Linked DNA regions of Mus musculus. The main gene of each other region encodes a partner of the protein of the gene in region 4 in a complex. Links are inferred from orthologs where the notes say so. Each region holds a gene or a part of one and is shown on either strand. Other genes may lie near its edges.

Region 1 (7,555 bases), on a different chromosome or scaffold from region 4:
GACAGACAGATCTGTTCTCACGAGGGTGAATGCTTGATGGTCCTTGCTTATTAGAAGGCCTAAAAACCCTCCAACTGCTTTTTTCTTTTTCTTTTCTATTTTTTAGGGGTCTGGAGGTGTTTTTGTGCCAGTTTGCTCTGGGCTTCTGTGTGTTCTTGCCCTTGTAAGGCTGAACTGCTCATGTTCAACCCAGGGTTATCGCACATCAGAAGACAGGATCCCAAACACTGACAGATGCGGGACAAACCGCTGGGGACGCAAGGCACTCACTCATCCAGCAGGTACGGCTGAAGTGCTCTCAGTGAGTTCATTTCCAGCTCAGGAAAACCTGACCCTAAAAACCAAGCACTAGATGCGTGGGGTCAGCCAGCCTTAGCCTCCCCTCACTGGTAACCCTGGGCAGAGCAGAGCTCAGCTCTTCTCTCATCAGGTTGCAGATTAATAGGGTCGACCTAGAACCTCTGCAGCAGGAAGCATGGCAGCTCTCAGCTCCCAGGAATCACTGGGGCTCCCAGCCTGTGCAGGTCGGGAGGGCCTTTAAGAGGTCAGCTGCTCCACTCCCAAGCACAGGGCTTTCCACAGAGAGGAGGGGCAGTCCCAGGTCACCCAGGTAGGGGTCATGACTAGAACAACAGTATTAGGTCAAGATCCAGTTACCTGTAGGAAAACAAGCCAGGACACAGATGAAGAAAGGCAAGTCAGGCTTAAAATAGCTAAATAAATCTTTAATATTTCTAATTGCAAATGTACAGAAATTGCACAGCCACACGGAGTCTTCGAACACCAACAACTTCTCTGTACATTATTACAGGGTTAAAAGTCTCGACTGGAGGGAAGGGCTCCGGCCGATCCAACCTTTGCATTTTTCCTTTTCACATACTTACAAAAGGGGGAGCTGGGCACAGTGGGGGATCGGGTAGCCTTGTGGCCGAGTATATAGAAAAGAGGGGCTGGTTCCCTGGACAGTCTGGCTCCCAGACCTATGAGTATGAGGGAGGAGTGTCCCTCGGGCAGGTGCTGGGGTACACGTTGAGCTCTGGCCCTGGTCCCCACCCCTACTCCTGGGCAGTCAGAGGTCTTCACTCAGAGGAAGTTTGGCAGTTTCCTTCACCCTAACACACAAGTTGAACAAAAAGGTCAGGTGTCTGTGTTGGCAAGGGTGGGGCCGCTCTCTCCATCAGATCTTGGGTGTCAGTGGCCAGGGTCTTCCCAGAGCAGGGCCTCTGGCAACTCCAGCCCTTGCTGTAAGCAGAGCTCAGACGCCCCAAGCCGTTGCTGTGGGCAGGAGGATGCTTTACTGGCCCCACTGGGGCATTTGCCCCCATCAACCTTCCACCCAAACAGCATGCTTGAAAGCCAACGAATCAATGCCCCGGGCAGGAAACAGACAGACAGACACCTAGACTGCAAAGCTCTTTGTCCTGCCCAGCACCGTTCTCCAGGCTCTAATATCAACCGTGAGAGCAGTGTCCTGGCCAGCCCTCGCAGCACCAGGACTAAAGGACTATGTACATCCCTTGGGTGAAATAGTTCCATTACAGTCAAACACCAAGAACATTTACAAAAAAAAAATTTACAAAAAAAATATTGCAGACTTGCAATTAAGATAAAAATCTGTGGAGAGTCTGTACACTTTTACAGTTTTTGCACTAGGTAAATAAGGCTCTCGGCCTGAGAGCTAACAACCCCACCAGAGGGGGCCATTGCATCTGGCCCTGCGCTCTCCTGTCCAGGCCTGGGGACCTCCCCATATTGCTAGGAGGCGCTCAGACAGAGGTCACTTTACGAGGCATGGGCGAGAGTGTGGGTGAGGAGGAAAACAGGGCTCCCTGGGCAGTGGAAGGGCAAGACCCAGGCCAGGCCAGGCCAGGCCAGGCCCTGCCCAAGAGGCCACCCCTGCTGAAATGCATGGGAGCAGGGGTGTGGACAGGAGTGGGGCAGGAAGAGGCAGTGGCAGGCCCTCAGCCCCACCTCCTTCCTTCCTGAGGTCTCTGACCCTTGATAGCCACGCCCTCTCCCAGCATTGGTCTGCAGCCTAACTGGGTTCTTTTACCCTTGCCTGTCCATCGTGGACTGAGGACAGGGCGCAGCCTAGCTAGGCCACACCTCAGGATGTCCACGCTTTCTAGTGAGGACTCTAGGAGCATTAAGTGCAGCTTGCCTAGCCCCATTCTGCTGCCTGGGCAAAGCCTAGCTCCTGCCCTAGGTGACTCAGAACCAGGGCTTGGAATCTAGAGTGTGGGAACAGATGGGGACCCAAGAAAGACCCAAGCTCCTGCCCTTCTCTGTCCCACAAAGGGGGGGGGGGGAGGGACAGATATGCTACAGAACAGCCTAGAGCTGGGGAAAACCAGCCCCAGCTGTGGGGGATGCCCCTCCCTGCCTGCAGTGCCTGGGTCCTTGGCTGGGGCTGGGAGGGTGAGGAGAGGCGACTGCACACGGGGCCTGGTGCAGGCTGCTGCTGTCTTGGAGAGGGAGCAAGTCTAACATCCTCCAGGGCCGCTATTTCCCATGCAGTGCGCTCGCTCAATTTAAAAGGCCCCTGTGTTCCAGCAAGCGAGCAAGCGGGCTTTTGTTTCTAATGCATACTGTGAAAGGAAAAAAAATCACAGTTATCCACCTTCTCAGGGCCGGCAGGCTTTAGAATTCTTTCTTAAACTATCAGAGAAGAGAGATCACCTTTGCAGGGTGAGCACTGGCTGGCCTCTCCCCACAGGGCCACTGTGCAGGCCACACTGGGACCCTGGAGAAGGCAGCTACAACGCATGGTGCAACCTGGCCACCTCTGCCCAGCTCTCTGGCTTCTGGAGTTCCAAGAGCATGAGCCAGGCCCGCATGTGAAGTGTGGGAAGCTATGGCTCCTCCCACGGGTATGAGGGCCCAGCAGAGAAAGTGCAGTGCTGTCTGTTTGGCAATGCAAGGAAGGAAGGGAAGGAGGGTGGAGGGTGTCACGTCTGGGATGGGCATAGGACCGAGGTTCTGTTCTTCAGTTCCTCACCCCCTGGAAGGGTCCCTGACCAGCTGCATGCAGTGGCAGGGGCTCAGGGCAGAGATGAACAGGGGCCACTCTGCCTGTCAACTACTCCATCAGGTCCTGGGGGCCATGGGAAACCCACAGCAGTGGCCCCTAAACCTTCCTTGAGCCCTTTGCAGGTAGCTTCCTCCATGGGAAAGGGTAAGGAGGGGTACATGCACCTGGCTGCTCAGAGAGAAGGTGCCACATACCAAACTCAACAACCAGAGACACATTCGGCAGGCCTCCCTGCAGACTGGCCCCACTCCCCAGTGCAGTCTCCGCTGCCTCTACCCACACCCACTGTTCAGGTGGGCAAAGAGAAGGGGGGCCACTGTGCCCTCAGTCTCACGCTCCATCAGTCTTACGCCCCCTCCACTGCAGGCTAGCCTGCAACTGTGGGAGTCTCCTGACGGAGACCCTGTCCCGGGCCACCACAGTCCCCCTCTCCTCAGGCAGGTTAACAATTGCTGCTGTTTCTGAACTCGCCGTTCTCAGTAATCTGCAATTTGGTGGGGTTGGTGGGGGAGACGCCGTTACGGGCTTGCATGCTGTACCTCTCTTTCAGCTGTGTGAGGGCACTCATGAGGCGGGCATTGGCAGCATCCAGCGAGGCAATGCGCTTTTCCTGTGGGCAAAGAGGGCATTAGTGATGCTTGAGGTGGGCTCTAGCCAGCAGTAGCCAGCAGAGAGCACCACGACAGGCCAGAGAAGTGTGTTAGGCCCAAGCTGTGGAGTAGCTGGGCAGGTTCTGTGCTATCACAGACTGGGGCCTTATAATTTGCCTCCTACCTATACAAAGCTAAAGCGGAGCTATAGCACCTGAGCTCGAAGGCAGAGCCTTTCCTCTCACACTGTCACACACCCAGAGCTCCTTCCTAGGCTATGTAGCTTACACTCTAACCAAACCTGCCAATTCTTGGGGCATTCAGAGAAAGGGACACAGCTGTGAGTGAAGGGGCTTGGGGACCAGAGCCCTTCTGCCTAGCCTTCTTTCACCTTCCTAGTCCTGCCTACTCCACTTCCATAAGTCCCTGGTTAGCATCCTCAGAGCCCAGAGACCTTGGTTCCTGGTCCATGGTTTTTACACTGAGGTGTAACCAAGGATACCAGAGAAGCTAGTTACACTCGAACTACCCCAAACTCTGTAACACTGTAGCCAGAGCCCCAACCTGGGCATCGATGATCTTCTGTTTGGAATCTACAGCTGCTTGCATCTCTGCATGATCCTTCTTCAGTTCTTCTTCCACTGACATCAACCTGTGAACAGAAATGCAGAGTCAGGAGCACTAGGAGGAGGAAGTATACTGTGGGGCCTGTGGGAAACCATCCTATCTAGAACTGTCCCCCAAGCAGTGGCATGGCTGGGCTACCCTGTCTTGACCTCAACTCTCCCTCTGCAACTCTGCTCTCTGGGGCTATTTCCATTCCAGTGCACTTCTAAGACCCAAGGAATGTCATGTTATAGGATCTGTGGCAGAGGATATGGTGAAGGCTCTAGAGAAGGCTCTAGACCCCCTTCTATCATGTTTCCTGAGGTGGTATGGACTTTGTGAAGGCACAAGGTTCAGGGGCTCACTACACCAGGAACTTCACACTAGGTTGTAACTACAGCCTGCACAGCAGCTGTAGTGGGGTGCTGGTATCAAAGTGATGAGGGAGTTCAGGAAGGACAAGGTGGAGGACCTACAGGAGCTCCAGGCAAAGGTGGACCCTACCAATTCACCCCAAATCTCTGTAGGAATCCTAATTCTTCCAAATTCTACCTGGGAGCATCCCACAGGCTAGATGTGGGGGGAAAATGGGCCATAGGGGGCCATGAAGAATTCTGGGAAGGCAGCTACACTGTGGAATGGCCAGATGAGACCAAGTCTGAGGCCTTCAGGTCCCACCCTAGTGAAGCTCCAACGTGCCTGGCATCCCACCAGAGCTGCCAAGGATGCAGAGATATAAGGAAATAAAATCTACAACCAGGAGACAAATCAGTGAGAACAGCTGAGATGTCAGATGGGAAGTAGGTGACGCTGTGAGGCAGCAACTGAAGGGACATTCTACATGCCCAAGAGACAGTCTTAACCATGAGGAAAGTAGAAGAGGTTTAAACCACAGTGAAACTCTAGAGACTTGAAGGAGCAAGGGCTGACTGCAGGCACCGGCACCGCAGAAACGTTGGTATGCCATTCAGATCACATGTGAACCAGGCCTAGGCACAGGCCTGTAACCCTAGCTAGCTATCTGGGAAATTGATGCAGGAGGATGACAGCAAGTTCAAGACCTTTTGGGTTGTAGGCAAGTTCAGGGAGAGCTTGGAAAATTTACTAACAGACTGTCTCAAGTACAAAGGTTGGGGTGTAACTCAGTGACAGACAACTGTCTAGCTTGCCCAAGGCCCTGGGTTCAATCCTCACCCAGGAATATAAAAATGTATATAAAGTAAAACTCAGAGAACAATGGAAAAAGAAAACAACTGTGGGGGCTGAAGAGATAGCACCATGGTTGTGAATACCTTTTGTTCTCACAAAGGACCTGAGTTCAGTTCCTGGCACACACATGGCAGCTCAAGCGCCTCTAACTCCAGCTCAGGAGATCCGAGACAGACCTGCATGCAGGCAAATCACCCATCCATATAAAATAAAATAAAAGGGAGAAAGAGAAGGAAGAAGAAAACAATGAAGGAACAGCGAAATGGGAGACAGTACAGAGGAGCCCACTGTACCTGAGGGCAGGCAACGGGAGCCCTAGAGGAAGAAGTAGGAAGCAGAGCCATCCACCTACAGATCTCAGCCCAGCAAACCCAAGAGAACCACAGCAGGTGAGACTGTTGACAACATTTAATGAAAGGAACACTGTGAAGAGGCTTAGAGACTTGAGATTAATCTCCAGAACCCACGGTGGAGGGAAGCCTCCTGGATGATGTCCTCTGACCTACAGCCCCCCAGACACCTACATAACTATACAACCACACACACACACACACACACACACACACACACACACACACACACGAAACTGTCCTCTGACCTACACCCCCCCAGACACCTACATAACTATACAACCATACACACATGCACACACACATACATGAAGCTGTCCTATGGCTACACTCTCCCCCACCCCTACATAACTATACAACCACACACACACACACACACACACACACACACGAAGCTGTCCTCTCCTCTGACCTACATCCCCCCAGACACCTACATAACTATACAACCCCCACACATGAAATTGTCCTCTGACCTACACCCCCACAGACACCTACATAACTATACAACCATACACACACACACGAAGCTGTCCTATGGACTATTTACACATGCCTACACACCTAGCCCTACACACACATACATATATGCCCCAGTAGTAGATAACATTAAAAAAATTTCAATGTTATGGATCCAACCAAGGGTCTGTGCACGCCAGGCAAGCATTCCAACAATGAGCAAAGCTCTAGCCCAGGAGAGGTACCTTAAAAACAGCGAGAGAAAAAGGAGACTGTAAAACAAAAAACAAAACAACAAAAAACAAAGACAGGGCAATGTTCTTGCCACTGCAGCCAGGGAGGGGTCACATCAAGCCACCGCCTCCTCTGTAAGCCCTGACATCACCCAGCTCTGCTGTGAGAGCAGGTGAAAAGGAGCAGCAAGATCATGTGGCCTGCACAGCCCGGCACGGTTCCCACCTGCCCACTGAGGAAGACTGTTGACTAACACCCAAAGCACTGGGGCCACACAGCATGGAAGCCAACAGAGATGCTGAGGACTAAGATACAGTCCAAGGAACGCAAGAAGGAAGGAAGGAAGGAAGAAAGAAAGAAAGAAAGGAAGGAAGGAAGGAAGGAAGGAAGGAAGGAAGGAAGGAAGGAAGGAAGGAAGGTGCTAATGCTACATATAAACAGGAAAATAGCTTTAAGATTAACAGGCTTAAAATAATCACATTAAAAGTAAATGGCTTAAACGCTCCAATTAAAAGGCAGAAGTTGTTAGACAATAAACAGACCTAACAATAGGAACCTGTAAAATAAACTTTGTGCACAACGATGGGTACTATGGTCTGAAAGTTGGTGTCCACACTCAAATACATGTACACTGAAACTTAACCTCTACGGTGCTACCAGTTGTCCTCTGGGAAGTGATGGGTTACAAGATATTTCTGCCTTCAAGAGCACGGTTAGTGCCCTTACCAAAGGAGCTGGAAGGAGCTCGTCTCTAAGGACATGGCACCAAGGTATATCTATGAAGGAGAGCTACACTAAATCTATTGACACCCTGATCTTAGACATGGCAACCTTCAGAATGGTGAACAGTACATTTCTCTTGTTTATAATCACCTGGTGCTGATATTTTATCATAGAAGTAGAAATGGATCAAACAATGGTTTAAAAGTATATAGGACAGAAAATGATACACTGTGCTATCACCAGAGAAAGAGTATCTACACTAGAAATAAGATGGAGGAAAGAGTGTAATTAAAAAGGACAGTTTGTTAATGGTACATGATAATCCTAAAAGAACACCCACCCAGGACTAGAAAGTA
Region 2 (7,555 bases), on a different chromosome or scaffold from region 4:
CTCCATAACTTATTCTTACTTCAGGAGGTCCTGAGGAGAAGGCTGGGAATTGGGGGTGTGGCTCAGTGGTAGAGCATTTGCCTGATGTGCAAGGTGCTGGGATCGATCCCTGGTGACACCAAAGTAATAAAAAAGAAAACCACTTAGCTTCCGTGGGGCTAAGTTTATCCCAGGGACATAGGCTGCCTGGGTGAATATGTGCAGAACAGCCTGAAGCAAGGCTGCCCACACCTGTACGGTGACTGCTGTATGTGTGGGCTGCCATCTCTGTTTAGTGGACGCCAGAAGATCCCGTGGCAGAGGCAGCTGTGTAGTCAGTCCTGCTGTGGAGAAGGCGATGCCCCTCATGCTAGTGTGAGAAGGCCTGCTGTTCCAGGAATTCCTTGGCGGCATACCTAAGCTTTCTGCCTGGGACCCAGTTCTGTCTGGCATCAGTTAATCTCTCATTTTAGTCACAGGCATAGCTCTTCTTTTTCAAGGAAGGAGGAACAAGCCAGTGTTTAATTATTACCTGATTATTGCCACAAGGGACATGGGACACAGCTTTCTAATGTGTAGGTTCCTTGATTTGAGAAAATGTATTCTATAGTGTTATGGTGTTTTTGTAATATACCATGAGCCAGCAACTAGTGGGCAGCCTGGAGCGTTGGGCTCTGGTTTCAGCTCTGTGGTGCCGACTGTCACAGTCAGTGTTCAGTTCCCAGGCTACGCAGCGGCCTTCTGTAATTGTGCTGAAATTGCATTGGCTACAGGAAGTCCAGGAGCTCACGTGAATGTTGCTTATTTTATCAACATTTTCATTTCATTGTCAGTGTGGTTGATTTGGGGGTTTTCTATGAATAGAAACTTTATTAATAACATCCCCCACTGAAGAATCAGATCTCAAATTGCTCTGCTTTTATTAAAACAAGTTGAGATTTTTAAGATAAACATATCTTGATTTCAGATATTAACATCTTCCTGTAAAGGCCAAATGGTTTGTAGTCCTGAGTTCACATAGCTCTGGCAACTGGGTTTGCCTAAGCAGGAGGACCCATAGATGGGATAGGCCTGGCTGCAGCACCTGGAGGAAAGTTCTTCCTCCTCCTCCCCCACCCCCAAGGGACAGTTCTTGCTCTCATTCTTGTGTTAACAGGTGACAGTGTATGTCCAGGGAGCATGCCCCCACTCAGTTACTATATTCTAGTCGGGGCCTACCTGGTAGCTTTTTAAGTCTGTTTTGTTTTGTTTTTTCTTTTGGTGAAATTGTGATACATGTACTAGCTTCTCATACAGTACTACATAGCAGCTGATACCTGTACAGAGTGTGGGTCTCTCAGCCCCATGTCTGCCCAGGAGCACACGCTGGGCTCCTGTCCCTGGAGCCGTGTGGTTAGGGCCTTCTGTCTCAGTGGCCTTGCCCATCTCATGCTCTCTGCTCTTGCTTTTGTGCCTGGCAGCTTCCTTCCCATCCTCTCACTCCATCCAGCAAACACGCGGACAGCAAGCCCGTGGCACTGACGCCTGCGTACCACACACTCCCCCACCCCTCTCACCATGGCACCCCACACACCACCATCAGCTGGGGACCCCTGGAGCCTCCGAAGACCCCCAAGCCTTGGAGCCTGAGTTGCCTGCGGCCTGCACCTCCCCTCCGGCCCTCAGCTGCTCTCTGCTACAAGGAGGTGAGGTCCTGCAGCCACTCAGACAGCCACTGCAGTGAGCATGCCTTGACATCTCTATGTGAGGTCTGCACTTAGCTACAGCAGTCCTTCCGGTGACTTCAGAAGTGAAAGTCTTGTGTTTCTGTTCATGGTGTGAAGACATGCCCCACCTCATGGCATCTTCAGAACCAAGAAGAGGGTCTGCCCTTACTCCATGTCATCCCCTTCTGCTACAAGGGCCAGGTGTCACCTTTAAACAAACTGGAGTGAGCATGCACCCCTCCAGTCCTCTGTGCACTGTGCCCACACTTGAAGGAGTGGTGCCCAGGAGGCACCGAGCCTGAGGTGCTCCTGAGCGAACGTGCAGGCCGAGGGCCTCACCTGACTGCATGCCATTCTGCTGTGCCTAAGATCTGTCCCAGAGTCCTGAAGCCTTTGGAAGTAAAGAGCAGGTTCCCTAGTGAAAGCGGTTGGTCCCTGAAGGCAGTGCCTCCTTGCACTGAGGGGAGGTGCAGCAGCCTTCCTCAGTGCTCCTGTTCTCCCTGCATGTGAGTGCAGCCACCATGCACTTGATCTTCACTAAGTCTCATGCGCTCACCTAACCCTGCTTTCACCTGAGGAGGCTCAGCACTGCTGAGTGTGACAAGCCAGGTTTGCAGTAGGTGTCAGCCTGACCACGGCGACTCACACTGAGCGAGACACACTGAGAAGAGTGAGAGGGGCAGGCCCCCTGGGTGGATGCTCCTGTGTTTCAGTGGTTTGTCGAGTCCACAGTACAGTGTTGTTGGAACTGATTTCTGCTCAAGATTCTCTGTAGCACATTAAGTTTGACCAGCATGGACCACAGGAGAGAGCTTTCAAACAATGAAGTCTAGCATACGTTGATCATATTCTTTCTCCTGCCCCAACACCTCCAAGATCCTTTCCACCTCCCTACCTACCCATCTTCATCTTCTTTCTCTCTCACACTCTCAAACCAAAAAAGGAAAGTCAGAACAAACAAAAATAAATAAGACAAACAAAACCCAAGCATACATTTAAAAACAAGACAAAATATAGAGTCTGTTTTGTGTTGGCATGGTGGCATATGCCTTTAATTCCACTGTCCCAGATACAAAGACAGGAGGATCTCTAAGAGTTAGCCATGGAAGAGATAGCTATGAAGTCTGCTCTGCCATAGAAGTGCCTCGCTCGCCCCTTTGTAACAGCAGCTGCGGGGAGGGAGGCAGGTGCCTGCGCCTACTGCATCCAGCGTTCTGTGTCATACTCCAGTTTTACCTTAAAGGAAAGAGGCTGAGATGGTGGCTGGCCACCATCCATTTCTACTTTGCTGGGAGCTGGGATATGGGCCTCACAGAGTAGCCAGCAAGTCCCGTCTCTAGGAGTCTGTGCTTAGCCATGGGTTCCCTGCCTGCCCCCTCTGCTTTAACTTTGGGATTTTGTACTTTGCTGTTTCCCTTCCCTCTCTACCCTAGAATGGACAGCCCTGTCCTGACTCTGTGGAGCATGTGAGTCGGTCTGTCCTTCCTTTGCTCGGCACACGCCTTACTGCCATGTACACTGTGGGGTCTGGGTTTGTTAACAAAGGGGTTTTCGTCAGAGCTGAGGCCTGTAGGTGAGGGAAGATGGAACGTCCTCTTGGCTCTTGGCCTGTGTTTATGTTGGCATTGGCAGAGAAACATGGACAAACTGGTGATGGGGGTGAGAGGTGCTTGGTGGTGGCCGGCTGGTGTCATACAGTCTGTTAGTATGTTTATTATCGGTGTTTCCCTAGGATCTCAGTAAGAGCCCCAAGACCATGAAAAAGCTGCTGCCGAAGCGCAAGCCCGAGCGGAAGCCTTCGGACGAGGAGTTCGCTGTGCGCAAGAGTGAGTGCCCATGTGTGGGAGCATGGCACGTCGTGGGCTGCGGGAGTGCAGGGGAAGCAGGGCCCGCACCTCCACAAGCAGCTGGCTGAGTGGAGAGGGCAGTCTCTGCATCGGCTGCTCCTCCAGCCTCACTCCAGCCCACCTCTCCGAGGGGTTGTGGTTTCCTGGTGCCTTTCCTCCACCCAGCAGATCTATAATTTGAATTAGACCCAGATTCCTCTCATTCACACAGGGCTTGTCTGTTAGGAGAAGTGAAGGCTGGGCTTAGGAGTGCCTGGTGGCCCGATTGAATAAGCATTTACCATGTATCTTCCACGTGACTGACACGATGGGTGCTGGGACCCGAATGTTAGTCAGACCTTCAGTCCTGGCAGACATTTCATGCTGTGTTGTGCCCAGCTGTGAGACCAAGTCTGCAGCACTGGTCCTTGGGTGGATCTCCCCGGGAGCCAGGCATCTGTGTAAAAGCATCTCGCTTGTGCCTGGATCACTGGTGCTGTTGCTGAGAAGGGGTGCTGTGCAGCAGCCTGCTCACCTGCTCAGGGTTAGCACTGACAGCAGCAGCACCCCCTCCTGGGCACGGGTGGGCACTTGCTGAGGGGGTCTCAGCTGTCTGATTGGTGCAGGGTGGGCCTGCATTAGGGAGACATAGCCTGGAGGCAGGGTGAGTGGTAGTAGAGCTGTGGTTGTGATGCGAAAGCTGTGTGTGCTCAGCTCACAAGAGAGGCAGTCTAGTATTGCATCCTTACCCAGAAGACCCAGCGGGTTAGGGATGAGAGGATATGGCAGACCAAGGACAAGGGTTGAAGAGAAGGGTTGTGTTGCTGATCCCCACTCAACATGTGAGCCAGACAGATGCTCAGCAAGCCTTACTCACCTCTCAAGCTTCTGGAATGTACTGGTTAGCTTGGAAGGCTAGGACGCTCTGTGTCCATGGGTAGTCCACATCTGCAGCTGTGAGGAGAGCGACTGGCATAGCTGTGGACACAGCGAGCCTGCAGTTTGCTGCTGGCTTCAGTGGCTCTCTGCCCCTGTGTGGAATGCATGTGCTCACCCAGGCGTGAGCAGAGCAGCTGGTGACAGCAGCCAGCCAGCACCCTGAGGGAAGGATCTGCTGCTGCCCAGAGGGAATGAAACCTTTCCTGTAGTCTCCTGCAGCCTCTGAAGAGGCCAGGAGCTGCGGGAGCTGGCCTCATGACTTGTTGCAGGTGGTGAGCTGGGTGCTCTCAGGACTGCCGTCCTCTGTCTTGAAGTAAATACTTGGTTTGCCTTATATACATTTTACTTTCTGAAAATATTGCTGAGAACTGGACATGGTGGTGCATGCCTTTAGTCCTAGCACTCCAGAGAATGAGGCAGACATCTCCGTAAGATAAGAGGCCAGCCTGGCCACATAGCAAGTTCTAGAAATATCAAGGCTACACAGTGTGGCCTTGTGTGAAATAAACAAACCTATAAAAGTTACGGAGGCATAGTTATTTACAGCTGTGAGAGTATCAGCCTTCTGGTCTCCCATGGTTGGAGAGTAGTGAACTTAAAAAAGAAAAGAAAAAATACAGCTAAGTAACTTAGAACCAGAGAGAAAAATATAAAAAAACAAGTAGCTTTCTTCCACATGCCACCCTTTTCTGAGCACGGGCTAAGGGGCTGTGATTGGTCCCACTGCCTGACAGCTCCTTCTGGCCTCTGCCTGGAGATGAAACCTGTACCCAGGTGGCTAGGCTATATTTAAGGCAGAGCTTTGCAGCACTTCTGTTCTTGGCATGGTAAATTTGTTACATTAGTGTCTAAGAATTCTAGGGTCAGAGACAGTGCCCCTTTAAGGCCTGTGATCTGGTGCCTTTCCAGAAGTTTCACGTTATGGCTCTGCAGCTCTCCTACCCACACTGTGTCAAGGCCCAGCCGATGACACTTGGGGTGCTTAGCTCTGAGTCTCACTTCCTGTTCTCATGAGACTTGAGGTCTTTTGGCTACTCCTGTCTCCTGTAGGCCACATATTCCAGTCTTGTGCTGTCTGTCTGGTGTGTGTGAGTGGAGAGACTGAGGGACATAGGACTTTACAGAGCTGTGATGAGAATTTCAAACCTTATACTCTCTTAAGTGTAGCTATTTATAACTATTTAGAGAGCCTAAATGTTAGCTCACAAGAAAGTGACGGGTGGCATCTGAACTGCGCTGTGTAGCTCTGGGCTGTGTGCTGAGTGGTGATGGCTCATGTATTTCAACAGGCACAGCGGCGCTGGAAGAAGACGCTCAGATCCTGAAGGTTATCGAAGCTTATTGCACAAGTGCAAAGACGCGCCAGACCCTGAACTCAAGTGAGTGTCGCAGTTCACCCCGTGTGGGCACAGATTACAAGCAATTGCTGCACGGACTAGCTGCTCTTGAGAGGGAGGTTTCAGGCGCTTAGCAAGTAGTGTAGCAGTGTCCCACAGTACTGTGTTCTAGGGAGCATCCAGTGTGAGGGCCAGCATCCTTCAGGAAACTTGGACTGTGCAGCTGCATGCAGAAGGCAGTGGAAGTTTCTTAAATTTTGCTCCTTTTTTTGGTGTTACTGGGGTTTTTTTTTTTTTTTCTCCTTTTAAAAATTATCTAAAATTCAAATCTAGAGCCATCTTTCTATCACCTTTAAATTTTATTTTGTTTTTAGTATTTGTTAATAAACAATGGTAGTTTCTTTGGTGGACACCAGGTAGTTTCTCTAAACTCCTCACAGGTGAGAGTCTGCATGGTGGTAGCATCCAGGAGCACTGCCTGACTCAGAGGCCTCTGCCTTTGACCTGCAGGCAGGGGCCTGCGGTCCTCCCTCTGTTTGTTTTGGAGCTGGCTGGTTGGCATAGAAACTGGTTGCCGTTGGATCTTCTACCTTGTTCCCTTCTCCACCCCAGTTTTTGGAAAGACACCTCCACATTTTAACAGCACCTTCAGTGTGGCGGCTCAGATCACACCTTGCCAATCGGACAGGAGAAGTGGGAGGGACTTTTCAGCCATTTGAGCTTTGATTGAGGAGCCTGCAGCTTAGCCAGCAGGTTTGGCAGGCGCAGCCCCGGTAGCGTTTACAGGCAGAGAGGGGCCTCCTCTTCCACTTGCAGCTTTGCACTGCCTTCTGCTCATGGTGTCAAGGTCTTGCTGAGGTTCAGTGAGGTCTCTTTTTGTCCTTACCATCTCTAAGGGAAAACCGGTTATAGCTGCTGAGAGGAGTAGGAGAGACGTGGGGAAGGAAGCCTGGGCACCCTAGCAAGCTGTGGGATATATAATTGTGATGCTGAAGAGTGACTCATGAATGTAATTTTGATGATTAAACGTGATGTATTCTGATAGGTTGTAACCATAGCCAGCACTTTCATAGATTTTAGATGTGTGGTTTTAATTAGTCACCTCACTTCAAGTGCTTAAAGGGAAATGAGAGTCCCCAGCTTATAGTCCCAGGTGACCTTGGCTGCTCTGTGAACTCCCGCATGTGACAGTCCATACTTCCCTCTGGGTGAGGAACTGTGCCTGGGGTGAGCTGCGGCTGCCTGAGGAGGGCAGCCTGTGGTTTGTGCAGAGCCTTTGTTGCACTGCTCCGGACTCCATTCCTTCCACGCAGAAAGCATGGTCAGTGTGCCGACTGGTGCACTCAGTTGATGTTCTGTTTCCCAGCCAGCATCCTGGGGCCTCAGCTTACAGCCATACGTGGCTTCCTCTTAGCTCTCTGAGAAATGGGATAGATGCACAGTTTGTGCTGCACAGGTGATACGGTTGGTGAGCGCATTTGGGAACGGGCTCCTAGGGAGCACATTTCCACATTAAATGCCTAGCAGAACGTTTTGAGAATGCTAATATATCGTTACCTCAAGCTTCTCTCTGTTCACTACATGTGTGGATGCTAGCAGGACTTTGCAAGCTAAGCACAGTTGACGTTGCTTTCTGTCTCAAAGAAGGAATGGCCTTCAGACTTGGAGCACAGCCGCTTTGGTTGCCGAGGCTTCCCTGTGGTTTCTCCCCACAGGAGCCCCATACAGCCTTGCATGCCCACCTAGCTGCTGGCCAGCTCACGCTCAC
Region 3 (7,555 bases), on a different chromosome or scaffold from region 4:
TACACACAGAACACTGCTGCCTGCTTAAAAGACCTTCAAAGTTTGGCATATGTCTCGGCTAACACGCTTGAAAACATATTTAAGAGAAACGAGTCACACAATCACTCCCGTTCTTCTAGGTAGCCCATAGTAATCTCTGCTCATTATCCTTCTAAGTTCTCAGTTCTGGCAGTATTATGTTCACCCTTTATCCCTTTGACCATGTGATCTCTGCCCCTAACATGATCACAGGATGGACACCTTAAGCCACATGTGCTCGAGCATGCGCACCTTCCAATATCAATATGGGTATGCACGGAGAGGCTCCACAAGAAAAATCCTCTCTGTTCAGGCTAGTAAAAAGTAAAAAACCCCAAAGTACAAAACCTCTGCTTGCTCTCAATAGTGAAATGCCCTTCTCTTTTAATCTCCTGGTTGCACTTTTTGGCTTTGTATTCACCAAAAGGTGAACTCATTTTGTTTGTTTACCAAAGGAACATACTTTAAGAAAGCCAGGCTTGGGCTGGAGAGATGGCTCAGTAGTTAAGAGCACTGACTGCTCTTCCAGAGGTCCTGAGTTCAATTCCAAGCTACCACATGGTGGCTCACAACCATCTGTAACGAGATCTGACACCCTCTTCTGGTGTGTCTGAAGACAGCTACAGTGTACTCATATAAATAAAATAAATCTTAAAAAAAAAAAAAGAAAAGAAAAAAGCCAGGGTCTGTCAAAACGTTATCATTTTTTGATAGTAGAAAACTCAGGTAGTACCCTGCAAGATACAGGGATAGAAAATGATTTTCCTAAGCAGGACTTCAATAATCAACAAGTGGGACCTAATAAACTAAAAAGCTTATTCACACCTAAGAAACAATCAAATCAGGAGGAAGCCCATAGTTAGGAAGAAATCTTTGCCAGCTATACATCTGATAGAGGATTAATATATAGAATACATAAAGAACTCAAAAATCAGAGTCAAAGAACACCAAAGGACCAATTCGTAAATGGGCTTGGGATATGAACAGAGTTCTCCAAAGAAGAAATAAAAATAACTAAGAAATAGCTCGAAAAAATTATCCCTTGTCCCTAGTGATTAGGGAAATACAAATTGAAGTAACTTTCAGATTTCATCTTACCCCAGTCAGAATGGCAAAAATCAATAAAATAATCAACAACAAATGTTACAGGGGTATAGGGAACCCCCATTCACTGTTGATGGGACTGCAAACTGCTTTGGAGAATCCTCAAAAAGCTAAGTCTACCACATGACACAGCTATATCGCGCTTAGGCGTATGCCCAAAGGACTTGACATCTACTCCACCGATCAGCCATGACTGCTGCTGCTCTGTTCACAATAGCTGGGAAATGAAACAACCTACATATCTGTCAAATGACTCGCGGATAATGAAATCATGGACCATATACATCATGGGGGACTGCTCAGCTGTAAAGAAAAATGAAATCATAAACTTTTCAGGCAGGTGGACAGAACTAGAAAAGATCATGTTGAGTGAGATGTCCCAAACCCAGAAAGACAAATGCCCCATGTTCTTTCTCATCTGTGGTCCCTAGCTCCAAGTCTTCAGATGTGAGCAAATAAACTAGACTAACCACAGAAACCAGAAGGTAAAAGGAACCATGGAGCATGGTGGGAATCAATATAGGTAAATATCTGGGTGCAACTGACTTGTAGAGGGAAAAGCAGGGGCACTTTTTTTTTTTTTTTTTTTTTTTTTTTTTTGCAACAGGGTTTCTCTGTGTACCTCTGGCTGTCCTGGTAATTAGGGAGGTGGAGGGAAGTTAATAAAGCAGGAGAGAAGAGGGTAAAATAAGAGTAAGAAAAAGTCATAAGGAATCAGTTATTATCTATCAGAATTACATATAAGACATGCAAGCCTATACATATATACACATATGCACACATACTATATATATGAAATTTCCCATCTGGGCTGACAATGCTCTCCCCAGAAGCCATACACTAGTAACAAAAGCCCCAGCACCAGGCATGAGACGTAGCCTTTTGAGCTGTGGGTTAGAGTTGTCGAAGAGACTCCCTATACCTGGCTATTGTCACTGCCTTGGATGCTTCCCAGAGGCTGAACGGAAGTCTCTGTTGCTGAACATACCATATACTTTGGACACAGACATGAGGGATCCAAGCTGGCTCTGATTTTAGAGCTTCCTCCATGAGGCCGAGCCTTCGTTGTAGCAGAAGATGCCATGCAAGCTTCCAAAGAAAGGAAGTACCCAGCTATGATGCCTATGAACCAAAACTAGCACCGCACAGTATCCCTAAGAGCATAGTGGTAAGCATATTTACTGGTAACCAAGAGTTCTTAACTGGACTTAAGGTTCACTCAACAAGAGGGAAATCAAGCTTAGCACTAGAAACCCAGCCAATTGCAAGGGACTATAAAGTCATGAACCTTGGAGGAGATCCACTATCTACCACTCTACTAAAGCGCCATGACCCCTAACTCCATTCTGAAAACATTTATGCTTATGACCACAGAAAAGTATAGTTCTCATTTCTCATCAAAGCAACTTCTCTTTGCAATAGACAGACCAATAAAGAAATCTGTAATTGATCAAAATGCAGAGAAGTGACAGTATTGTCTGTCACCCTGGACCAACCATACACCTACAACACAGCTCCTTCACCAAAGGCTTGAGAGTCATGGCAGAAGAGAAGACAGAAAGATTGTAAGATCCAGAAAGTAACAGAAAGTTTGCTGTGAGGTTTCCTCTCCTAGAAAGGTGAGAGAGGCTACACCCAGGAAGTCTCATCAACGTGGCTGCTTAAACAAGACCTAGACAAAGATGACACCAACAGACACACTAACATGGAAGTCAAAAATCTCATGGGACATCCACTCTAGACAAAGAACTACAGGCAAATAAGCAATGCTGAGAGCAGGAGAAATAGAACTCTTCCCCAGGGAGGAGCCCCCAGATTGGTTATCCAATCCCAAGAGGTCAGCCCTGAAATCAAGAAACACTTTATAGACTGAGCAGATTGTATTTACACATTTAGGAATATATATCTCAACAATTAGAGAAATGGAGGCCATGAACTTGAAAGAAAGCAAGGGGATGTAGAGGAAGGGTTAGAGAGAGAGAAGGGGAAATAGGAGGGAAATGATGTAATTATATTTTAATTTCAAAAAGCTAAGGTTTATTACTTTTGAACATTCAGTTTTTCAAGAGAAGCCGATGTTTTTATTTTAGTACTTTATATAAGGATTAATAGGCATGGCAGATCCTCAGGAAGAGGCCATGTCCTGTTCAACATGGGAGTACTAAAGTCCACCCTACAGAGCTCCTAGAAAACCCCACAGAATGGCAGCAAAGTCTACTGCTTCAGTGCGTAAGGAAGCTATACCATACGGAAGACGATGGCATGAACATAACTGTGCGCAGGGGACAAGAACTGGCAGCTCTGTTACCCGCTCCCATTTCCTTACTCCCCACTCACAATGAACACTCAGAACACAACATGACATTTTCGGATATAGTAGTACCCAGAAAGAACCGCAGGAGGCTGAGGCATGGGGCACCCTACCTTTATATCCCGGTGGACTATCTGATTGTCGTGAAGGTATTTTAATCCTTCCAGTATCTGCTTCGTATAGAAGCCAATCGTCTGTTCGTTGTCCTTTAATGGGCCCCATTTTGAACGAAGGAGAGCAGAGAGGCTTCCTATAAGATAAGAGAAACAGTGAGCAAAACTCATTCAAGCTCTTTAAAGCAAATACATAGCGTGACACTAAATGAAGCCAGAATGCACTGGCTCTTCACAGTAGGCCAGACTCTGCTGGTTGCCTGGGTTCAAATAGGAACATGTATGAAACATAGGAACATGTATGAAAATATCCCTATTCTGAAGGCAGCCAGTAATAGGATACTCAGTTGCTAGCTTCATTCAATCCATGCCACAGTGACTGAAACTAGACCGGTTTCAAAATGTCTGTACTGCCTGCTGAGTAGCGTCAAGTTCATGTCACCCATCTGACCATTGTCTCAACACAGACAAATCAAGATCTGGACTCTAACAAATTCCATTCAATCTAGCTCTTCTTCAGGCCTTAGAAATTCACACTTCTGAAGGTAAGACAGGCACCCCTTACCTCCTGGGACTTGCTCCATGAAGATTTTGATGAAGCCGTTCTCACTGAAGGAGCCCAGATACTGGACAATGTTTTTGTGTTTCAGATGCTTGTGCAGGGCGATTTCTTCATGCAGGGGCTGAGAGTATCTGGAAGACACGCAAATGTCAGTACGCTAAGCATCAGACAGACTTTAGAGTATTAACTTAAGCAACACTAAAAACACCAGCTAAACTGTGCCCACAAATAAAACCAATGACCGTCCAAGGCCTTTATTTCTCATAAATTCTATGACATTGCAGCTGCAGCAGGACTGAGGGGAAGTGTTGGATATTGTTCAAGCTCCTTGCATAGATCAACTCATTTCTTTTCACTAAACGTACTAGTTATGGGACACCATTTTACAGACAAGAGAAGTGATGAATAGAAGAATGACCAAAGATCACAAAGCTAGTGGCAGACTTAAGTCTTGACCTAGGAGATTAGATACTATTCACACCACTTTTTTAGCATGGCAGCCTGCTCCACTGGCTTCAGCATCGTAACCACTCCATCAGGGGACAAATATTCCTAATGTCTTAATCATGTTCAGTCACAACTTCCCGATGGTTCATCAACTCTTTAGTAAGAACGACAAAACCATTCATGTTCCAATTCCTTTCTCTCTGCTCATTCAAACCGCTCACCTTCTGAATCGACAAAGTCTATCACACTATGACTTTTCACCAGATCCTAAACAAACCTCTACACTGAAAGGCCAGCTGTATACCAGAGTTCACAATCATGTGCTTAGTGTATGCAACCGTAACAAAGTATCAACCTGTTTTATATTTCTGAACTAGCACAGTGTATCTGCTCATTAAAAGAGTCCTAGTAGAGCCAGGCATGGTGGCACACGCCTTTAATCCCAGGACTCGGGAGGCAGAGACAGGCAGATTTCTGAGTTCGAGGCCAGCCTGGTCTACAAAGTGAGTTCCAGGACAGCCAGGGCTATACAGAGAAACCCTGACTCGAAAAACCTTAAAAAAAAAAAAAAAAAAAGAGGCCTTGTAAAGCTGATATTCTGAAGACTAGCAAGATCAGTGAGCACTTATGCATCTATTGCATAGATTGTCAAATAATAAAATTTCAACAAATCAACTTTTAATGATTAATTGGCTTTCATTGGTGATTCATGACAGGATCTGGTCTAAACAGACAGGAGACAGGACAGGACAGAACGGCTCAGGCTTCATGTCATTTAAGCAAGAATGAGACAACAACACAGTGCAAAAAGCAACAGGCTGGCTTCAGGTTATTATTTTTGCATGTATCAAAGCAGGGAGAATGTTCTTATTTCAATGGTGTAGACTGGGTGGGCTCCTTTGGATGCTATAAATCTTGATTTATGGAAAGGTCAGACCTTATAAACAAACAGATTAGGTGTCCGTGATGTCAAACCTGAACATAAATCATTCCATTTTGGATTGATCTGTTGCAACCTAGAGTGGCAGTTCAAATCAACATTCTTCTATAAGCATTATTTAATAAGCTAAATATTCTGGAGTATCAGCAACTATAACTAACGATTCAATGCAAGTCCACACACACACACACACACACACACTCAACACACACACATACACTCACATACACACACCCCCAACATACTTTCTCTCTCTTCTCTCTCTCTCTCTCTCTCTCTCTCTCTTTCTCTCTCTCTCTCTCTCTCTCTCTCTATGTATGTCTTTCTCTCTCACAATAAGGCTATAGGTATGAAAAGCTCTAATTACACTAAGGCATATTATACACAAACATGATCTCTCACTCTTGCTTCAGACATACTCTTAAGGAATGTTCAGACTTCCAATGACAAATCCAACTAAAGAGATGGGAGCTTTTTAGAAGGACAATAACAAAGTGTAAAGTCAGTGTTAAATAATGGTGTTTTCCGGAAGCAGTGCAGGCTGAGTTCTCGTGCGAGCACTTACTTAATAAAGATCTAAATTCACTTAATTGACATCAACTTTTATAAGCTATATAATACTCCTCAGAGGTCTGGCAAGGGGAAAAGAAAATAAATTCCCCTATGTCTAAGACATAATATTCTTCTTTTATTTCCGCCTTTAGAACTGCTACAGGAATTAGGAGGCAGGCATCAGAGTGATCCTTTAATACTTTATCGGCGAGAGACAGCAAGAGCACTTTGAGACAGTATGAGTGGACACAAGAACTGCTTATATACATTAGTACCGATAAGACCCTTGTATCTTGGGTATTCTAAGTTTCTGGGCTAATATGCACTTATCAGTGAGTACATATCATTTGAGTTATTTTGTGATTGTGTTATCTCACTCAGGATGATGCCCTCCAGGTCCATCCATTTGCCTAGGAATTTCATAAATTCGTTCTTTTTAATAGCTGAGTAGTACTCCATTGTGTAGATGTACCACATTTTCTGTATCCATTCCTCTGTTGAGGGGCATCTGGGTTCTTTCCAGCTTCTGGATATTATAAATAAGGCTGCTATGAACATAGTGGAGCATGTTTCTTTCTTACTAGTTAGGGCATCTTCTGGGTATATGCCCAGGAGAGGTATGGCGGGATCCTCCGGTAGTACTATGTCCAATTTTCTGAGGAAACACCAGACTGATTTCCAGAGTGGTTGTACAAGCCTGCAATCCCACCAACAATGGAGAAGTGTTCCTCTTTCTCCACATCCTCGCCAGCATCTGCTGTCACCTGAATTTTTGAACTTAACCATTCTGACTGGTGTGAGGTGGAATCTCAGGGTTGTTTTGATTTGCATTTCCCTGATGATTAAGGATGCTGAACATTTTTTCAGGTGATTCTCAGCCATTCGGTATTGCTCAGGTGAGAATTCTTTGTTTAGCTCTGAGCCCCATTTTTTAATGGGGTTATTTGATTTTCTGAAGTCCACCTTCTTGAGTTCTTTATATATATTGGATATTAGTCCCCTATCCGATTTGGGATAGGTAAAGATCCTTTCCCAATCTGTTGGTGGTCTTTTTGTCTTATTGACAGTGTCTTTTGCCTTGCAGAAGCTTTGCAATTTTATGAGGTCCCATTTATCGATTCTTGATCTTACAGCACAAGCCATTGCTGTTCTATTCAGGATTTTTTCCCCTGTACCCATATCTTTGAGGCTTTTCCCTACTTTCTCCTCCATAAGTTTCAGTGTCTCTGGTTTTATGTGGAGTTCCTTAATCCACTTAGATTTGACCTTAGTACAAGGAGATAGGAATGGATCAATTCGCAATCTTATACATGATAACCGCCAGTTGTGCCAGCACCATTTGTTGAAAATGCTGTCTTTTTTCCACTGGATGTTTTTAGCTCCTTTGTCAAAGATCAAGTGACCATAGGTGTGTGGGTTCATCTCTGGGTCTTCAATTCTGTTCCATTGGTCTACTTGTCTGTCACTATACCAGTACCATGCAGTTTTGATCACAATTGCTCTGTAGT
Region 4 (7,555 bases):
GAGCCTCTTCCTGTCCCTGGCAGATTATCAGGCCCCGTGGCATTTCAAAGCTGTTATGGTTTTCAAATACAATGAGGTGTTCAGGCAATTTAGTCACAGAAATAAAAAAGTAAAGCAATTTCAACTGATCTCAAATCGATAATGCTATCAAACCAAAAGTTTATATAGTTAAGAACTGATTGTGAGGGGTAAGGAATGGGATGGCTGAGATTCTGTTTCGTAGAAACAGGTTTATTCGGGTAAACCCTTGCTCATCAGTTCCCTCCATGCCCACAAACTGGAAGGGAATTCCTATTTAGAAATGGCCTCTGCTGGATTACTCGTCCAGTTGCAATTCTCTTCAGTGCTAGACAGTTTCCAAGGATCAAAGTCTTGGGAGCACTAGATCAGGAAATGGGAGAAGCAAGGAAAGGAGAAGAGGACATGAGGGGTCGGAGTTCCTGAAACAAGTGTTTATTTCATAGAAGGCTTGGCACATGAGGCTGGGATGAGCGTGGTTTCAGTGATTGTTCTTGGTTGCCTCTTTTGCTGCAGCAATCAGTGGAGTCAGGCTAGAGAGGGGCTTGGCAATCTTCAGGAACTGATGCTAGAAGAAGAAAAAACCAAATGAGTTGAGTGTTTGCCATTCTTACATAGCAGCTATTACCAGACAGTAAGGGCCTCAGTGACAGATCATCCTTGAATTGACTTGTTTATTTATCCTTTTGTGTGTGTGTGGGGGGGGTGCATCCATGCCATGATGTGCATGTGTGTGTAGGTCCATTTGCAAGAAGGAATTCTTTTCACGACTACAGGTACAGGAAAATTGTCCTCAAGTTGTCAGACTTGGCAGCAGGTGCTCATACCCAGTAAGTTATCTCATTGACCAAGTATACAAGTTTTATTTGTAAGTCATTAACTGTAAGAAAAAAAAAAGCTCAAAAAATTAATAGTTCCATAGTCATATGCCATTATATAGAATATTAGCACAGTAACTAACACACTGAAAGCACAATGGATCCACAGACATTTTGAGTGAAAGAAGTAAGACAAGAAGTTCATTTTACATGGTTTTGTTTGTTCCTGGGTAAAATTCACCTCTGGCAACAACAGAGTAACTATTCTTTCTGGAGAAGACACCTATCTTTCGTCTTAAACTCCAGCCCTCGACCTGTTAGCTGGAACTATAAGCATGCACCATATGTGGCTAAGAATCTTTTGTTCACTCTTTGACTCCAGCAAGGCGAAGTATTCCAGTAAGGACTTTAAGGTCCTTTACAATGTTACATTGTAATGTACTTTGAGCCATACTTCCAATTTAAAAAATTATTTAAGAGAAAAATATCATATGAAAATGTTATAGGAAATAATTTTTTATGTAACTCAGAGTCTCTTACTTAAACTGGTGGATTGTTTTGGGGGTTTGATTTTTGTTTTTTACATTTATCTTGAAGATATAGATTCTTTCTTCCATTTGATAATAAAGATCAGAGCTAAATTTCCTTGTCTGAGCAAATGTGAGGTTTGTAATTACTTAACACATCTCATTCTTTTATCATTCTTATAATTCCTATAGTTAGCATTATTATGTATGTGTACAGACACTCACATGGAGATATATACAGAGACACTCTTTGCTGAAAGTTGATTCAAGTTTCATTGGGACAGAGTGAGGATACACAGAGGAACTGAGAACTATGGATGATCATGGATAAAGCTTAAATATATGAATTCCAATATCTCTTCCTATATCTTTCTATCCATATGTTCTCACAGGAGAAGCAGATATGAAACTTCATGATTAAAGTTTCTGAAAAGTCTAGGATTTGAACGTTTACCAGATAACACTGACAAGTTAAGGAGATTGGGAAAAATCTTCATTAACCCCACATCCAATAGAGGGCTAATATCCAAAATATATAAAGAACTCAAGAAGCTATCTCCAAAAAACCAAACAACCCAATCAAAAAATGGGGTATAGAGCTAAACAGAGAATTCACAACAGAGGAATCTCGAATGGCCGAGAAACACTTAAAGAAATGTTCAAAATCCTTAGTGATTAGGGAAATGCAAATCAAAACAACCCTGAGATTCCACCTTACACCAATCAGAATGGCTAAGATAAAAAACTCAGATAACAGCACATGTTGGCGAGGATGTTGAGAAAGAGGAACACTCCTCCATTGCTGGTGGGATAACTGGTACAACTACTCTGGAAATCAATCAGGAGGTTCCTCAGAAAATTGGAAATAGATCTACTTGAAGACCCAGTTATACCACTCTTGGTCATATACCCAAAAGATGTCCCACCATGCCACAGGAGCACATGTTCATAGTGGCCTTATTTGTGATAGCCAGAAGCTGGAAACAACCCAGATGATCCACAATGGAAGAAGAGACACAGAAAATGTGGTTCATTTTCACAATGGAATACTACTCAGCAATTAAGTATTAAGAAGGACATCATGAGTTTTGCAGGCAAATGGACAGAATGAGAAAATATCATCCTGAGTGAAGTAACTCAGACCCAAAAGGACATGCATGGTATGTACTCACTAATAAGTGGATATTTGCCAAAAAAGTACAGAATACCAGGATACAATCCACCGAACTCAAGGAGGTTAACAAGGGGAAGGGCCCAAGTGAGGATGCCTCAATCCTACTTGGGAGAAGAAGAAAGCAATCACAGGGGGTGGGGGTGGGGCGACACAGAGGGAGGGGAGGAACCTGGGTGGAAAAAGGGACAAGGAGGGAAAAGGGGAAACATGATCGGGTATTGGGGGTGGGGGGAGACAGGACTAAAGCCCTGAGGGCCAGCAGAAAGAATGTAAACAGGCAATCCCAGGAGGTAGGAGGTGGGGGGTACCCTCTAGAATGCACCAGAGACCTGGGAGGTGAGAGAGACTCTTAGGACTCAAAGGATGGAACTTCAGATGAAATGCCCTACAGTGGGAAGAGGGAACTAGTAGAATCTACTCCCAGTAGAAAGACAGGACATCAAGTGGAGGGATGGTGTTGCTATCCCACAGTCAAAAATTCTGACCCAGAATTGTTCCTGTCTGAAAGAACAGCAGGGACAAAAATGGAGAAGAGCCTGAGGGAAAGGAGGTCCAGCGACAGGCCCAATTTGGGATCCAGCTCAAGAGGAGGCTCCAAGGCCTGATTACAGTATTACTGATGCTATGGTGTGCTTACAAACAGAAGCCTATCATGACTGCCCTCCAAGAGGCACACCAAGCAGCTGAGTCAGATTCGGATATTTATGCCCAATCAATGGACAGAAGCTGAGAACCCTTGTGGTTGAATTAGGAAATAACTGAAAGAAGCTGAGAAGGGCGACCCCCAATAGGAAGACCAGCAGTATCTATTAACCTGGACCCACAGAGAGCTCTCACACACTGAGCCACCAACCAGGAAGCATACAGCAGGTGATATGAGGCCCCAGACACATATACAGCAGAGGACTGCAGGGTCTAGACTCAGTCAGAGAAGATGCACCTAACCCTCAAGAGATTTGAGGCCCCAGTGAGTGGGGAGGTCTGGTGGGGTGGGGACGGGGACATCCTCTTGGAGACCAGGGACTTGGGGGAGGGGGATATAGGGTGAGGAACAGAGGGCAGACTTGGCAAAGCCCAAGAGTGACAGGGAGCTAGAAATACAAAGTGAAATGGTAGGAAAGAAGCCTAAAATCAGCAAACGCAGACAAAAATGAGATGAAAAGGTTTGGGTAGGCACCTCCCTGCAGAAGGACAGTTACCTGCAGCAGCTCTTTAGCTGAGCCTCTCTTCTCCACATCCATCTCAAGACAGCGGTTCAGGAAGTCCCGGAAAATAGCTGACAACTTCTCTGGGTTCTGAAGCTCTGGCGTCCCATTGGTAGCAATGAGGTACAAGGCCTAGCAATACAAATGAAGAGTCACGTGGTGCTCTCCCTGAGGTTCTTTCTGTTACTATCGAGACACGTTCTCTAAAATACAGCCAGCTTCTGTGTGCTCTGACACACAGCTCTGATCAGCGGGGATGTCCTGAAGAGAACATACTAACCTAATCAGGCTTGACATTCACAGTCATATGACTGTATATATGCACCTAACATATAACTTCTTTGCTATATAATGCTTTATATAGCCACAAAAATGTCTTTAGCGTGCATTTGGAAAGCACTTTGTAAACGTATGAGGTGTTACAAACCTAAGGGTTTATTCTTCACTTAGCACGGCAAGGTAAACGTCCCTTTGTTTAGTTGTTGGCAGAAATGTGCTGCTGAGGCTTCCACCCAAGAGGAAAAAGCCATGCTTGGCGAGACAGCAACGGTTTCGCTGCTGCTTCCCTGCTCTAATATGAAGCAGCTCTTGGGAGAAGAAAAACAGTAATAGTAAACCTTCATAAACACTAAGCTCTTTAATTACAAAGCTCGCTCTCGCTCTCTCTCCCCATCTCTCACTCTTGTTTGTTTGCTTTGTTTTTCAGGACAGGGTTTCTCTGTATAGCCCTCGCTGGCCTTGAACATAGGAGATTTGCCTGCCTCTGACTTCTAGTGCTGGGATTAAAGGTGTGCACTACCACACCCAGCTACACTCATTTTAAGTGACCACAGTAACTCAGAGGTGGGGCAAAATGGTTATTCCCATTTCACATGTAAGGCTCTCCAGCCGTTGCATTCACTGTTCTGAGTGCACGTGCTGACTCTAATTCAGTTTTATTTCCACCACACCACACTGATTACCTTCATATCTGAGGCAGAGGAGGTTGTGTTACATGTGGAGTGAGAGAGCAAAGCTGGGACAATAAAGTCGAAACTAGAGAAGAAAGTTTCCTTTTGAGACAATGAAGCACTTTCCAGCAACTGGAACTATCCAAGGGTGATCTGAGCATGTAGTTAAGCGTAGATATTCTTACAGGGGAATTCCTGCACTAGATAGGAAGATGAACTAAGTGAGAAAGTAAAAACAAAGTAACTTCCTATTCCTATTTGTCCACAATCGAAGTCACCGCCTTCCTTGCATCTTTATTGTATACTCTATTTCTTCTCCCATTACCACCAATTCCCTTCCACTAGCTAACACACAGCCTTTAGCTGACCCTTTTCAACTCTACAAGAGACTGCTGGGCAGTGGTGGTGCACGTCTTTAATCCCAGCACTTGGGAGGCAGAGGCAGACGGATTTCTGAGTTCGAGGCCAGCCTGGTCTACAGAGAGAGCTCCAGGACAGCCAGGGCTATACAGAAACCCTGTTTTGAAGAAAAACAAAACACAAAAACAAAAACAAAGAAAGAGAGAGACTGCTCCATTTCCCTGTCACCCTTCGTAACAAAACTCATGTAAGAGGAGAAAACACTTGTAAATGCCATCTCAGTTTTCTCCTTTTCTGCTCTTATGGGTTTTACTCAAGTTAGGCATGTGTTCCCATCAATCTACTAACTGGCCATGAAGGCCTTGCTGGAGGCAGAGTTTCAGAGCTCTCGGTTTTGTTTGCCCTACTTCCAGTTTGTTCTCTGGCTCACATGTATTTCAAGATAGAAGCTCTCAGCATCCAGTTCCTGCTAACATACTTGCCACTTCCTTATTATCATGAACTCTTATCCCCTTGGAAACATAAGCATACATTCCTTTCTCCTGTAACTTGCCTCGGTCCCAGTACTTTCATCACAGCAGACCAAACAGAGAAGTAACAAAGGACAACTGAACTTGTCAGCACTGCGTGCCGTGGTGACTGCTGATTCCACTTCTTTACTATTCAGGGCATCCTGGCAGCTCTTCCCAAGTCTACTTCTCACCTGTATTCTGACCCAAGCAACCACTCTTGTCTGAACTATCCTGTTAGTCTCTCATTGTCTATTTCCTAAAGAAGCAGCCTAACCATTCATTCATTTCAAGTACAGACTGGATCCTCTTATTATCTAGCTGAAAATCCTTTCTAATGATGCAAAATAAAAGCCAAGTTCTCACACTGGCCCACAAGACTTAGTGGCTGGCCCTTTCTTATTGCTGACTCTGGCTACCAGTCTACTTTCTCCTCTCTCCTTTTTGGGAAATAATAGCCTCCGATGATTTTTCCAGGCAAAAACCAAATGGGATTCTTGATACCTGTAAACACTTGCATGAAACTAAATCTCATGGCTTACTCCTTTAACTCCTTCATGTTTCTGCTGAAATAACTAATAAAAGAAAACGTTCCTCTAAATAAAGCCTTCCCTATCACTCTGTCAATTGCTCTTATTCTACATTTTTTTTCTCCATAGCAGTTACCATCTGCTACTCTAGAATCACTTGGTATTATCAGAACAATTTTTTTTTTTTTTTTGGTTTGGTTTTTCGAGACAGGGTTTCTCTGTATAGCCTTGGCTGTCCTGGAACTCACTTTGTAGACCAGGCTGGCCTCGAACTCAGAAATCCGCCTGCCTCTGCCTCCCAAGTGCTGGGATTAAAGGCATGCGCCACCACACCCGGCTCATTTATATTTTAAATTCAACAGTATCTGTTGAATGCATGTTATATATACTTATTTATTTAGTGTATACACATGTATTTAGTGTGGGCACATGTGTACCATATATCTCATATGGGAATCAAAGGGCAGGTTGTGATAATTGGTTCTCTTTTCACCATGTATGTCCCTGGATTAAACTCAAGTCATCAGGCTTGGCAGGAAGAGCCTTAACTCACTGAGTCATCTTACCAGGTCCATATTTTTGCTTTTGAGACAAGTTTGTCTCAAAAACTGGCAATCTTCTTATCCCAGTCTTGTAAGTCTAGGAGTACAAGAATGTATAACTATGCCCGGGTATACAGAGAGAAGAGCCTGAGTACAATTTCCTAGGATTAGAGTCAGTTGCCCAAATACTTTGCAAGAAGATGAGAACACTTACTCTCAAAGGGTTTTCATTGAGGTATGGGGGCTCCCCCTCAATCATTTCAATTGCCATAATGCCCAGGGACCAGATGTCAACCTTGGGTCCATAGGCCTTGCGTGTCACAACTTCAGGTGCCATCCAATATGGAGTTCCCACCATGGTGCTCCTTTTGCTCTGCTCTGGAGTTATCTGTGCACAGAATCCAAAGTCAGCTAGAAAGGGGGAGAAGAAAGACACACTTAGGATACTCCATCAGTAAGTGCTGTGTCCTTACACATGGGCAGCAGGCTTTGTCTGCAATCTCTGTCTCACCAAAGCAGGACACACCTCACTGCTACTAGTCCACTGCTCATTCAACCATGAACAGTAGGAGAAATATTAAGAACAATATCTCTAGCCTCCTGCCTTTTCCTCAAACCAAATGGTTAAAAAACATTCCTATAACTCAGAGTCTTATAATTAACTCATTCCATTATCCTCTGGACAAAAGTCTCAGAATTAAAACCCAACCACCAACACGTAAGTATGGCCCTACTTTTAACAAGTCCTCACCCTGCACCAATAGTCCTCTCATAAACTGTTTACCCACTTATGGCATAGCCTCTGTCTCGGCAACTGCTTTCACTCCTTTGTACAAAAAACTACCTGTAGTTCATTCACACTATATTGAAGCTACACATTTATCTAAATTGATAGAGCCGATAGTGAAGACTATCTTCTCTG

Evidence for each region. Proteins that work in one complex are often made in the same cells at the same time.
Region 1: Pak1 (region 4) and Dab2ip share a complex: the UniProt entries of both Homo sapiens proteins name them as parts of the cytoplasmic complex. The link is inferred for Mus musculus from reciprocal best matches to the Homo sapiens genes PAK1 and DAB2IP.
Region 2: the proteins of Pak1 (region 4) and Arhgef7 are in contact, whole or in part, in an NMR structure (PDB 1ZSG), measured with the Homo sapiens proteins. The link is inferred for Mus musculus from reciprocal best matches to the Homo sapiens genes PAK1 and ARHGEF7. Residues at the interface, in NP_001363202.1 of Homo sapiens: Thr185, Pro186, Pro188, Val189, Ile190, Ala191, Pro192, Arg193, Lys198, Arg203, Ser204; in NP_001106983.1 of Homo sapiens: Lys192, Phe193, Phe195, Thr198, Asp201, Glu202, Glu217, Gly220, Trp221, Trp232, Pro234, Ser235, Asn236, Tyr237.
Region 3: Pak1 (region 4) and Map3k5 share a complex: the UniProt entries of both Homo sapiens proteins name them as parts of the cytoplasmic complex. The link is inferred for Mus musculus from reciprocal best matches to the Homo sapiens genes PAK1 and MAP3K5.

Annotation. Positions count from the first base shown.
Region 1 is NC_000068.7:35,724,144-35,731,698, reverse strand, and holds the end of Dab2ip (disabled homolog 2-interacting protein), read right to left. Parts: intron 4,274-7,555; coding exon 4,186-4,273; intron 3,642-4,185; coding exon 3,474-3,641; 3' UTR 2,589-3,473; coding exon of another isoform or gene 2,579-2,588; 3' UTR 1,276-2,578; coding exon of another isoform or gene 1,113-1,275; 3' UTR 705-1,112; downstream 1-704. UniProt on the Homo sapiens protein: Functions as a scaffold protein implicated in the regulation of a large spectrum of both general and specialized signaling pathways.
Region 2 is NC_000074.6:11,816,221-11,823,775, forward strand, and holds part of Arhgef7 (rho guanine nucleotide exchange factor 7), read left to right. Parts: intron 1-1,439; coding exon 1,440-1,664; intron 1,665-3,417; coding exon 3,418-3,511; intron 3,512-5,739; coding exon 5,740-5,829; intron 5,830-7,555. UniProt on the Homo sapiens protein: Acts as a RAC1 guanine nucleotide exchange factor (GEF) and can induce membrane ruffling. Functions in cell migration, attachment and cell spreading. Promotes targeting of RAC1 to focal adhesions. May function as a positive regulator of apoptosis.
Region 3 is NC_000076.6:20,096,189-20,103,743, reverse strand, and holds part of Map3k5 (mitogen-activated protein kinase kinase kinase 5), read right to left. Parts: intron 4,240-7,555; coding exon 4,112-4,239; intron 3,684-4,111; coding exon 3,547-3,683; intron 1-3,546. UniProt on the Homo sapiens protein: Serine/threonine kinase which acts as an essential component of the MAP kinase signal transduction pathway. Plays an important role in the cascades of cellular responses evoked by changes in the environment.
Region 4 is NC_000073.6:97,904,127-97,911,681, reverse strand, and holds part of Pak1 (serine/threonine-protein kinase PAK 1), read right to left. Parts: intron 7,045-7,555; coding exon 6,848-7,044; intron 3,875-6,847; coding exon 3,737-3,874; intron 587-3,736; coding exon 500-586; 3' UTR 1-499. UniProt on the Homo sapiens protein: Protein kinase involved in intracellular signaling pathways downstream of integrins and receptor-type kinases that plays an important role in cytoskeleton dynamics, in cell adhesion, migration, proliferation, apoptosis, mitosis, and in vesicle-mediated transport processes.